Arabidopsis thaliana: one gene and its partners. The protein of the gene in region 1 interacts with the protein of each later gene in a pairwise test. Each region holds a gene or a part of one and is shown in the gene's direction. Other genes may lie near its edges. The genes, in order: SPK1, RAC6 and SCAR2.

What was found.
Region 2: the proteins of SPK1 (region 1) and RAC6 interact in a two-hybrid assay, tested with the Arabidopsis thaliana proteins (one study listed by BioGRID).
Region 3: the proteins of SPK1 (region 1) and SCAR2 interact in binary tests that used the Arabidopsis thaliana proteins (3 or more experiments, as listed by UniProt).

Annotation. Positions count from the first base shown.
Region 1 is NC_003075.7:9,239,918-9,243,671, reverse strand, and holds the start of SPK1 (guanyl-nucleotide exchange factors;GTPase binding;GTP binding protein), read left to right. Parts: upstream 1-2,042; 5' UTR 2,043-2,075; intron 2,076-2,272; 5' UTR 2,273-2,611; coding exon 2,612-2,689; intron 2,690-2,765; coding exon 2,766-2,928; intron 2,929-3,008; coding exon 3,009-3,100; intron 3,101-3,192; coding exon 3,193-3,305; intron 3,306-3,395; coding exon 3,396-3,451; intron 3,452-3,544; coding exon 3,545-3,642; intron 3,643-3,754. Other genes in the region: CBL6 (calcineurin B-like protein 6), read left to right, coding at 3-120, 200-270, 355-414, 486-594, 676-809, 901-1,013, 1,092-1,167. UniProt on the Arabidopsis thaliana protein: Guanine nucleotide exchange factor (GEF) for Rho and Rac. GEF proteins activate small GTPases by exchanging bound GDP for free GTP. Controls actin polymerization via the two heteromeric complexes WAVE and actin-related protein (ARP) 2/3.
Region 2 is NC_003075.7:17,024,072-17,027,825, reverse strand, and holds the start of RAC6 (RAC-like 6), read left to right. Parts: upstream 1-1,959; 5' UTR 1,960-2,311; coding exon 2,312-2,410; intron 2,411-2,530; coding exon 2,531-2,618; intron 2,619-2,704; coding exon 2,705-2,814; intron 2,815-2,888; coding exon 2,889-2,952; intron 2,953-3,378; coding exon 3,379-3,443; intron 3,444-3,520; coding exon 3,521-3,586; intron 3,587-3,673; coding exon 3,674-3,754. UniProt on the Arabidopsis thaliana protein: May be involved in cell polarity control during the actin-dependent tip growth of pollen tubes.
Region 3 is NC_003071.7:16,093,141-16,096,894, forward strand, and holds the start of SCAR2 (SCAR homolog 2), read left to right. Parts: upstream 1-2,094; 5' UTR 2,095-2,409; coding exon 2,410-2,564; intron 2,565-2,742; coding exon 2,743-2,906; intron 2,907-2,989; coding exon 2,990-3,113; intron 3,114-3,201; coding exon 3,202-3,331; intron 3,332-3,516; coding exon 3,517-3,578; intron 3,579-3,700; coding exon 3,701-3,754. Other genes in the region: AT2G38430 (uncharacterized protein), read right to left, coding at 1-256, 351-458, 626-706, 791-947, 1,033-1,201, 1,370-1,670.

The DNA of each region.
Region 1 (3,754 bases):
AGATGATGATGCAATGTTTAGATGGATTAAAGCACTTAGCCTTAATTCTGTTGACTTGTTGTGATGCTGATCCTCCCAAGGTTCGTCAGAACCCTAAGGATGTGGCTAGAGGCACTGTGTGTATGTGTCTACCCCTACATTTACTTTTACTATTTTTATTTGTCACAACCCCAACAATGGCTTTATGTACCAAATGCAGTTACAGTGAATGAGATTGAAGCTCTTTACGAACTGTTCAAGAGCATTAGCAAAAACGGGCTTATCGACAAGGTATGCAAGAATCCATAGTCGGACACGAGTACTATATCTCTCTGTTCCTCTACATTCACTAGGATCCTTTCAAATATATTGCAGGAACAATTTCAATTGGTACTATTCAAAATGAACACAACGAGAAGCCTTTTTGCTGATAGGGTAAATTAGATAGACTTGTAACTCACTTATATGAGTTTCCTTGCTGTACACTCATACTTCAAGCTTTGCAGGTGTTTGACTTGTTTGATACCAAGAATACTGGGATTCTAGATTTTGAAGCCTTTGCTCGTTCACTTTCGGTCTTTCACCCTAATGCTAAATTTGAGGATAAGATTGAGTGTAAGTGGTCGAGAGAGACTTGACCTTCTTTTTTTTTGTCATATCCAAACCTTGGATCAAGCTCATCTTTTGTCTCTGCAGTCTCTTTCAAGCTGTATGATCTGAATCAGCAAGGTTATATAAAGAGACAGGAGGTGAAGCAAATGGTTGTGCGGACTCTAGCTGAATCTGGCATGAACCTTTCTGATCATGTGATTGAGAGCATCATAGACAAGGTGGGTTTGGTTGATCTCCTCCATTGACACTAACTAGGATTCTCATATTTAATCTTTGACAAGAGATGTAAAAACTGATTGGTGTGTGTAGACATTTGAAGAAGCTGATACTAAACTGGACGGGAAGATTGATAAGGAAGAGTGGAGGAGTCTTGTGTTGCGCCACCCCTCTCTGTTACAGAACATGAGCCTTCAACATCTCAAGTAAGCTAGCCATGTTATTTGCCTTATTATCTTCTTCGTGCGGGACTAACATGTTTTTGTATGTTGTGTTTTGTGTAGAGACGTAACAAAGACGTTTCCAAATTTTGTATTTCACACTATAGTGACAGACACTCCTAGTGAGCTGGATGGATGATCAGGGATGTGAAGAAAGACCAAAACCCTTTACAAGATCATTCATACTTGATTCTTATCTTCTTCTCCATTACTCTATTACAACCCTCCTCTTTATTTTTAATAAATACGTTCTGAAAGCAGCATTACCTCACATGTTTGTGTATCCGCAAACTTGTTCGGTTTATCTTATCTGTTGGAGTGTGCAAATTGATTCTTTTACTCGGCATTAGTTTTATTTTGTTGCTTCTTCTTTCTTTCTATCTAAATTTGTTAGTTGGAGTAAAATCCGGACAACCATATTTTACAGGGAACCCAAATGGCGAGATAGTTTTAACATGAGAAAGGAAAGATTCATGTGAATGAGAAACTGGTTAACTTGAATCTCATAGATCATTGTATACTTGGACATTTTCCCAAGATTAGAACAAACAATACTAGATCTCTCGAAAATATCTTCATCACAGTTGCAAAGAGCCGTGGAGAACCCAACTCTTGAGCTCAAAATTGTATCAGCTAGTGACGTCAACCATATCGAATATGTCACGGACAAAATGGACGTATACGCCGTCGTTTCAATCAAAGACAACACAACTCAACAGCAACAAGCGGCCAAAACTCCCATTGATATATAACGGAGGTTCTAATCCGACTTGGAATCACACACCGTTAAGTTCTCCGTCAACGAGAGAGAAGCCACGAAGCCCAATAATTATGTTAACCAGTGTAACGTTTTTTCACCCACTTAATTTTTTGGCTGGGTCTGCCTAACATTCTAGGCACAAGTTAAAGAGGTGATCAATTTTTAGAAATTATAACCCTAATGCTAACATGAATGATATATAAAAAGGCCGCAATGGTAGACTATAATGGCAACAACTCTGAAACAATGGCTAAAGATTGGGATTCACCGATTCATAGATACCAAAGGTAACTATGAACTCGTTTACGGTTTATCTCAACATGAATCCGTAGAAACAAATCAACAATCCTAATTTCAATAAAGTGTGACAACTAAATTCTTTAGCCGTATACTTTCTAATTCCATTTTGTTTGGTATAATGAGAATTGGAATGACTTTTGGTGAAAATGGTTACTACTTACTCCAATTCTTTAAGTTGGTTCAGGTGAGGTATCATCGTCTTTGGTCGTCCCAATGATTGACTCTTTTGTTATTTAAAAAGAAAAAAGGGACAGTAGAGTTGGACTCTTGTTGGACTTACAGCTCCAGCTCGACTTTTGCTTTCCTCTTGAGTAATCTTCACTTTTTCTCCCAACTGCTTCCTCTCACGGATCTCTTCCTCTCTGCGTAAAGACAAAGATTCATCCTCCTCTCCTCCTTTAGCTCCCCCACTCAGATCTACTTACTACTCCAACAATGTCCTTTTCCCATTTCTAGGTTTTCACAAATCCCCAATTCTCTCTAATGGCGTAGTAGTACCTCACATTGTATTAGATCTATCTCAATGGAGAACAACAATCTTGGTCTTCGATTTCGTAAGCTACCTCGTCAGCCTCTTGCTCTCCCTAAGCTCGATCCTTTGGTAATTAAACTCTCCTCAACCTTTATTCGCGTTTTCTCTCTCTTTTCGTTAATGTGTTTCTTCTCTTTTGTTTCAGCTTGATGAGAATCTGGAACAATGGCCACATTTGAATCAATTGGTTCAATGTTATGGCACTGAATGGGTTAAAGATGTTAACAAATACGGTCACTATGAAAATATTCGACCTGATTCTTTCCAGACTCAGATTTTTGAAGGACCTGATACTGATACTGAGACTGGTAACTATGATGCATTGTTTATTTTTATTTTTTTTGCTTTTGTCAATTATTGTACATCAATTAACTCTCTGCTTCTTCAGAGATTCGTCTTGCTAGTGCCAGGAGTGCAACTATTGAGGAGGATGTTGCCAGTATTTCCGGGAGGCCGTTTTCTGATCCTGGATCCTCTAAGGTGTCTTCTTTTACTCACTTCATTGCTCTGTTATATATTTCTCATCCTTTGGTTCTTACTTTGAAGGTGTTGCTTTTTTTTTTTTTTTTCAGCATTTTGGGCAACCTCCTTTACCTGCTTATGAACCAGCTTTTGACTGGGAAAATGAAAGAGCTATGATTTTTGGTCAGAGAACTCCTGAATCTCCTGCAGCTAGCTATTCCAGGTTTTTTTTTTTTTGCATGTCACTATGCTTTACCTGATCTTATTATCTTTGTCTGATTTGTACTTCTGTTCCTCTTTATTATCTTCACAGTGGATTGAAGATCTCTGTCAGAGTTTTGTCTCTAGCTTTTCAGTCTGGCTTAGTTGGTGAGGATTCTGACTAACTGCTGTCTATTTTCTGTAATTTTAGTTATTTCAACTTCTTTAAGTTCCTTCTTTATTTCTCTTGCATCCCTGCAGAACCATTTTTTGGCTCGATTGCATTGTACAATCAAGAGAGGAAGGAGAAACTCTCTGAGGATTTTTATTTCCAGATTCAGCCGACGGAAATGCAGGATGTAAGTAACTGATTAGAGCCAACTGTCCTCTTTTTGCCTCTTCCCTTCTCATGATTATATAAAAGGTGATTTCAGTTTTTTCTCACGTCATTTTTGCGAAATTGCCGCCCCT
Region 2 (3,754 bases), 7.8 Mb from region 1:
TTCTTCTTCTGTATAATCGCTTACTATTCTCGTAGTTTCAGAAAGCAAAAGTCTTTTTTCTAGTTGAAAAACCAAAGAGAGAGAGAGTCAGAGAGCTCAAAGTTCATCCAAAGTTAATCGAGAGCAAGTTTCATTCCTCTCAACAAAGTTCGTCCAAGGTTTCTCGTAGTCACTAGCCGAACTCTGCTTTTAAGATTGGTAAGAATTCTTAGATGTTTCCTTACTTTTCTACGACTTATGTTGTTGATCGAAACACTTTCATGGTCTATTCTTCTCACTAAAGTTTCGTCAGTTTCAGTTTTACGCATCATACTATTTTCACTTTGTCTAAACTCACATCTTCCTCTGTTTTCTTTTTCGAGTGTTCTTGCAGGTTTCTCTCCAAGCAAATAGCTAGAAATGGAAGGCTCATCAAGCTTCACTACAACCAACGCAAAGAAAGAAAAACAGAGAGCGTTCACCCAATTTCCCCGTGATTTCATTATATACTATCATCGTAATCAAGAACTCTGCTTTGAGACTCTGCTTTAGGGTTTGGTAAGAATCTGATGTTTCTCCTTTTTGTTTGACGAATTGAGCCGTGTATTTTCTGAAACATCTTGATTTTGGGAATTGTAGTCATAATGTTAAAGAGAGTTATTATAGTGTAATTTATCTTTGAGAAATTTCTGCCATCTAAACTGTTTCTGACAATTACAGGTGAGAGAGAGAAGAGATAAATGATCCGTCACAGTCACGACAAACGATCCACGGCAACCTTTGGCGGTGATAGCGGGCTTGTTGCGCCGGGGTATCATCTTGGACTTCCAGTTGACTACTCGCCGTGATGTTCAGGGTTAGTTTCATCAATGCTCTTCTTATATGTCTCTCTCAGTCGTTACTCTGTTAAAAGCCATATAATAAATCGTAGACTTGGTGAGTTATTTGGTCGGATTTTATAGATTAACTCTCTCATTCATCCATATGTAGCTCGTGTATTTATGATTTTTATGATTTTTTGTCATTGCATATTTTCAAACTTGTTAGTAATTTTGGAATGTTGATTTGATAAAACTGATTCCAACTCCACGAATCCTGGTTTATCAAAACTGTGATTGTATCATCGTACACACATCAAATAAAAACTTTTACTTTGAACATTTTCAAATGCTAACTTTTTCCGACAAATTAATTACATGGTTTGTGAAAGATTCCCAACTCTTAACGTTTTTGTTCTCGCTGTCGCAGGTTTTCTTATCAAGGAAGGTTACGTTGACCCGAATAAGTTCATTAGCATAGACATCTTTCCTCACGAAAGGCAAATATGACCAATGTTGACATTTTACATACTCGGTAAAATATTTGTTAGTTGAGATTATTGCAATTTTTGGCAGAAAATATTACCACACTTTGTTGACATACAAATAAGTTCAGGTTTGGTCCATACACCACATTCTCACTAGCCAACATGCAAATTCAACTAACCACATTCAATATCATCAAACATCCTTGAAATTTTAACATAAATTTGGCGAGTATGCGGAAGAACTAGTGCATTACAACTTTATTGTACCGCAATTGGCTGATTGGTTTCATAAATATTGAATCATAACTTAGAGATTTTTTCACATTTGGTGAGCATCCGGAAAAACTAGTAAAAAAATGAATTAGAATAGTAAAACAAATCGTACTAGAAATTTTACAGACAGTTAAAAACACGTATAATTTTAGCCAGTGTTAATTTTTCTTATTTGCATTTTAAACAACAAAGACAAAATACATTATGTGCAACTCCTTTATTTTACTTTTTTGTATACAAGATAAATAAATTAATTTGAATATACACTAAAAAATCAAACAGAAAAAAGAAGAAGAAGTAAAATAGTAATTATTTAAAAGACAACAGAAGAAGTAAAAAAAGTAAAAAGATTGCAAAACAGTCGGAAGGTTGAATGGCTGAGATTAATCGAACGCTTCAATGGCAATTATTTCCGGCCATCACTTTCTTCTCTACTTCTTTCTTTCTCTCTCTAGTTGTTGTTCTCTCTCTCTCTCGCATCCTCCAATTCATCGTCCTCACGTTCCCTTTTGTTTATTCATCTTCCTTCCTTCTTCACATTTCTGATTTTCTCTATTTGGGGGGTTTGTTTCCACATTATACATATCTAGGGTTTTGAGATGGTTAATTGAAAGATAATGGTCGAAGTTTCGGAGGAATTGGCTTCACATTGTGGGTGTTTCTGGCTTCCTCAGGTTTAAATCTGAGGTTGATCTCTTTTGTTTTTTGGTAAATTGTGACATATTTTGGCTCGAAGAAGAAGAAGAAGAGGCAATGAGCGCATCAAGGTTCATAAAGTGCGTCACCGTTGGTGATGGAGCTGTTGGTAAAACCTGTTTGCTGATTTCTTATACCAGCAACACCTTTCCCACGGTATTCATCAATCATTCTCCCTCCTTTTTTTGATATCTGATTCATTTGATTCTGATTGTGCCATATATGAATTGGGATCCATACATACTAAAAATGTTGTATACATTTCCATTGGAACAGGATTATGTTCCGACTGTTTTCGATAACTTTAGTGCAAATGTGGTTGTTAATGGAGCCACGGTGAATCTTGGATTGTGGGATACTGCAGGTAATGAATGATGATCCAATTCATAATCCTTGGTGAGAGAGCTTTCCTTGATGAATCGGTCGAAATTATGTTTTTGGTTTATGCAGGGCAAGAGGACTATAACAGATTAAGACCTTTGAGTTACCGTGGTGCTGATGTTTTCATTCTTGCCTTCTCTCTCATTAGTAAGGCTAGTTATGAGAATGTTTCCAAGAAGGTCAGTTTCGTCCGAACTGGTCGACTATTTAACAATTGAGAGTTCCAAATTTTGATGCTTCTTTTCTTTTACAGTGGATTCCTGAGTTGAAGCACTATGCTCCTGGTGTCCCAATTGTCCTTGTTGGAACCAAACTAGGTTACTTCCTCCTCTCACATTTGTCCTTGTTTATGCATTTATTTATATATATGTCTGATTCCCATGCTTACACTGCCATTTTCCTTTTCACTTTATTAAGCTGCTCTGGTATAATATATCATGACATTAGTGGACATAAAACTTCACCTTCTCTTGATTGTGGTTAAAACTTGTACATGTTCAAGATGTATTCGTTAGGTGAAACTGAGGGTAGTTTTCAGAGAATATCATTGGTCAACAGGCTTCTTCTTGTATCTTGCACTTCTTGTGATAAAGCAACCATATCCTATAACACACGCCTTTAAGCATCCTCCAATGAAATAGCTACTGTATAGCAAGTGTATACCTTTATAAAAGACACTTGCAAGATCTTCAGTCAACTCATGATCCTGGCCTTTTTGATTGTCTAACCTTGGTTGTTGTCAGATCTTCGAGATGACAAACAGTTTTTCATCGACCATCCTGGTGCTGTCCCTATTACCACTGTTCAGGTAAGAATACAGTTATTTCCTCAGTGCAATTTTATCAGCTTTACCACCGTTAAGCATTTTCCCTCTCTGCATGGAAGGGAGAGGAGCTGAAGAAGCTAATTGGAGCGCCAGCTTACATCGAGTGCAGTTCAAAATCACAAGAGGTAAACGAATAAAAGACATCTCATGAATCATCTTTTCGGTGTTGGATTCTTCATCTTTTGATGAAAACAATGTGACTATAACTGCAGAACGTGAAGGGCGTGTTTGATGCAGCGATCAGAGTGGTCCTTCAACCTCCAAAGCAGAAGAAAAAGAAGAACAAAGCACAA
Region 3 (3,754 bases), on another chromosome or scaffold:
CGATGTCTTTAAGCGTCAAACTCACCTCCCTCTTGGTTTCCCCTGTTCCAGTCGTCTCATTGAATCTATCAGTCTCTCTTACCCTAAGCCTTAGAGTTTTATTTTTGTAGATAGTAGCTCTAACGTGACAAACTTCAAATTCTTTGTATCCATCTTCAGATAAAGCTTTACCAAACGGCCACCTTAAACCGCCTTTTACATTTGGATCAACAGTTGCTGATTCCAATAGCGCTTTAATGTCACCTATCTCTTTATCCTGCCGATCAAAGAAAGATCACACAACCTAAGTCTAAGAAGAGCATATTATTTATCCATATATTGTAAAATATATATACCAAACTTGAACTTACACTGAGATACGTTATTTCCCTCTTAGCGGTGAGCGTTAGTCTCATGTCGAGATTCTTATCAATGCATGACACATCAACAACCAAATGCCTTACAGGATTAAGGTCGACCTATATAAAAGCAAAACTCAAGATTCAAAGTTAGATATTAAAGGAAGACCAAGTAAAAATGTGACATCTATCAAATTCTTGTTTGTTTTTCTTGCTAGTCCGAGAACAATAAAGAAGAGATTTTACTATTGGTTGTAGTCACTACACACATAAAACTCGAGACTTGCCTTGTACATACTGAGCCGTCCATCTTCCTTACGGGTACATTTACAGTTGATGGTTGCATTAGGACGAGAATAATGCGATACCTAAAAATAGAAGCCAAACCCAAATTAGCACATTCAAATGACATTCGAAGTATAGATCTAAATCTAAGAAAATGAAACGAGTACCTTCACAGTGTATGTTTCCTTCTCCTTATCAATAGAGAATCCATGGCTTGGTACAACATTAGATTTTATGTGTTGTAAGTAAGACATTGGGAGATCAGTAGAGAACATCTTATTCAAGTTTTTTAGTGAACATTCAGCCACAGGACCAGCTTGACTCCTGGTTTAAAGTTGTATATGTTAGAAAAAATATAAACCCATTCCTGAAAACAGCAAAATGTGAGATCAGACGGTGAATCGCTTACCCATAGAAGAAAATTTTACCAAACCGAGCAACCAGTCTCGATACATGATGATGCTCCTTCATTTCAGTCTTAACTCGCTCATATGCCAACACAAGATCCTCCATAACCTTCTCAGCTACTAATAGCCACTGAGTTCTCTCATCCTTCCTCTCTCCAATATTCATATTCACTGAATATAAACATATAAAAAACCATACTCAACATAGATACAATGCATCTTCTTTTGGCAAAAACGATAATAGCACAAACAAAATAGTTAATAGTATTGTTTATTTCAGCATCTAGATGATATTCATTTTGTCAAACACATAGCCAAAGTCTACTAATAGTTTCTTACCATTTTGGACATTGTTGTTCATCAGTATTGAAGGCTTTTCTCCTTTTCTACACTCGACAGAATCTGAGGACAAGGGCACAAACTTAACATACGAAGGAACATCGTCCTCAATTCCATTTGAACCAACAAGAAACCATTTGGAAATGGAATCTCCTGAATAGATAATCTTGTTGCGTTTAACACTGCTAGTGCTACTCTTAAAGTCAAGGTTCTTCTTGAATTTTGTAACAAGAGAATCTGGAACAGGGGTAGGCTTTGTCGGATCCTTCGAATGCCTCTTATGTGGTGGAATATAAGACATGTCTAAACCTGAAACTCACAACAACATCAACCAAAAACGATTTCAAGATAAAACAAAAAAATCTCAAACTTGGAGCTCAAATAAGAATTGCTTTACAACGAGCGAAGAAGAATATAAAGACAGAAACTTTAAGGTGAGAAGAGAGAAGTCGAATCATACCTGTAGGCTGTAGTCGAAACTCAACGTCTTTTAATATTCCTGCAGAGAAGTAACAGTGACACTCAAATAGACTCTTCGCTCCCTTTTTAATCTTTCAATTAACTCTCATCCGTTTCTCAAAAATGACTTTAATTAGATTGTGTTTGGTTTCGATAGGGATCACAATTGGACAAACCTCAAGCCTGAAACTATCAGGTTCCCGAGGGGTTTGGTCTTAAATGCAGGTTTTATTGCAACAAGGTTTTGGTTTTGTAAGAATTTTTCACTAAAAGTAACAATTTTTTAAGTATTTCTGGCTATCGAAAAATAGAAAAAGAAATGTTTTCTTAAAAAGTCTTTTAGCGTTGAGGTTCTCAGACTCTCTCTCTCTCTCTTTGCCCCTACCTATATCCGCCGTCTTGAATCCACAGAAAGTCCGTTTTAGTTTCCAGCTAAGTGATGTCGTCACATATCTAATGGTGGTCGGTCACTACTTAAATGAAGACAGAGAAGCTTTTCTAGTCTTCTTCTTTCTAAAGTTCTTACCTTTAGAATTTGAACAAAAGTATCAGCGAGCTGATCAGACAGAGAAGCTCAAACAATGCCGTTGACGAGGTACCAATCTCGTAACGAGTATGGATTAGCAGATCCGGATCTGTATCAAGCTGCTGATAAAGATGACCCTGAAGCTCTGCTTGAAGGAGTCGCTATGGCTGGTCTCGTTGGCATTTTGCGTCAACTCGGTGATCTCGCTGAGTAAGTTTCTCTCCAATCGAAATTTCTCTAATTGATCTCTAAGCGCATCGAATTCGAAGTTTTGGAATCCGTTGTTGTAAAGCGACAATTTTGATGAATCTGGATTTGGTTGTGGAAGTGGAAAAAGTTTTGATTTTTTGATGGAATTGTCTTTAAATTCATGTAATTTGTGATGAAGGTTTGCTGCTGAGATGTTTCATGACTTGCACGAAGAAGTAATGGCTACTGCTTCTAGAAGCCATGGTTTAATGGCTCGTGTGCAACAGTTGGAAGCAGAGTTTCCTTCTATAGAGAAGGCATTACTGTGTCAAACCGATCATTCGCCGTTTTTCTCTAACAAAGGTTAGATTGCTATGAACATTCATGATCTGGTCAGCTACTATGATGTTGGATTATTTCAACATGATTCTGTGACTCTATTTCAGGTGTGGAATGGCATCCGAATCTACAATTGGAACAGAGTGTGGTTACAAGTGGTGACTTACCTCGTTGTGTGATGGATTCTTATGAGGAATGTCGAGGTCCTCCAAGGCTATTTCTTCTGGACAAGTATGATTTAGCCTTGTTTGATAGGACTTCTTCTTTAGTCGTTTGTTAGAGAAGGATATATGTAACATCTTCTGATGGTTTTGATTAGGTTTGATATTTCCGGAGCTGGGGCTTGTTTGAAACGCTACACCGATCCATCGTTTGTTAGGCTTGAAACGTCTTCATATGAAGAATCATGGGATGATATTCAGAGAGAGAAAAAATCACAGAAAGCAAAGGTACTAGCTTCTTAGTTCAGGTTGTAGCTTATGGGTTGCAGTGTGATCCTTCTTGGTTATATTTTGGTTTCCATTACATGGTAGATTTTCTGAATAGTAGATTTTCTTATGCTCATGGTGTTTTGAATGTGTAATCTTACCTTCCATTTTGTGATTCTCATAGTTTTCCTTCTATTCTCTTGTAGAGGAGAGCATCTCAGTGGAGGAATGGAGGGACACCTGAAAATGCATTATCATCACATGCCAAGTGAGTATTATCTATTTTATGTCTTGTGTGTTTGTCATTTCTGTTATGATATATATGTAGTTCCTATATTGGTATCTGACTGTGACTAAAAATGGCTGGTTTCAATTATTCAACTGGCACAGATTGCATGAATTGTTTTTGGAGGAGCATTTAGAGGCTCATCATTCAGATCCAGC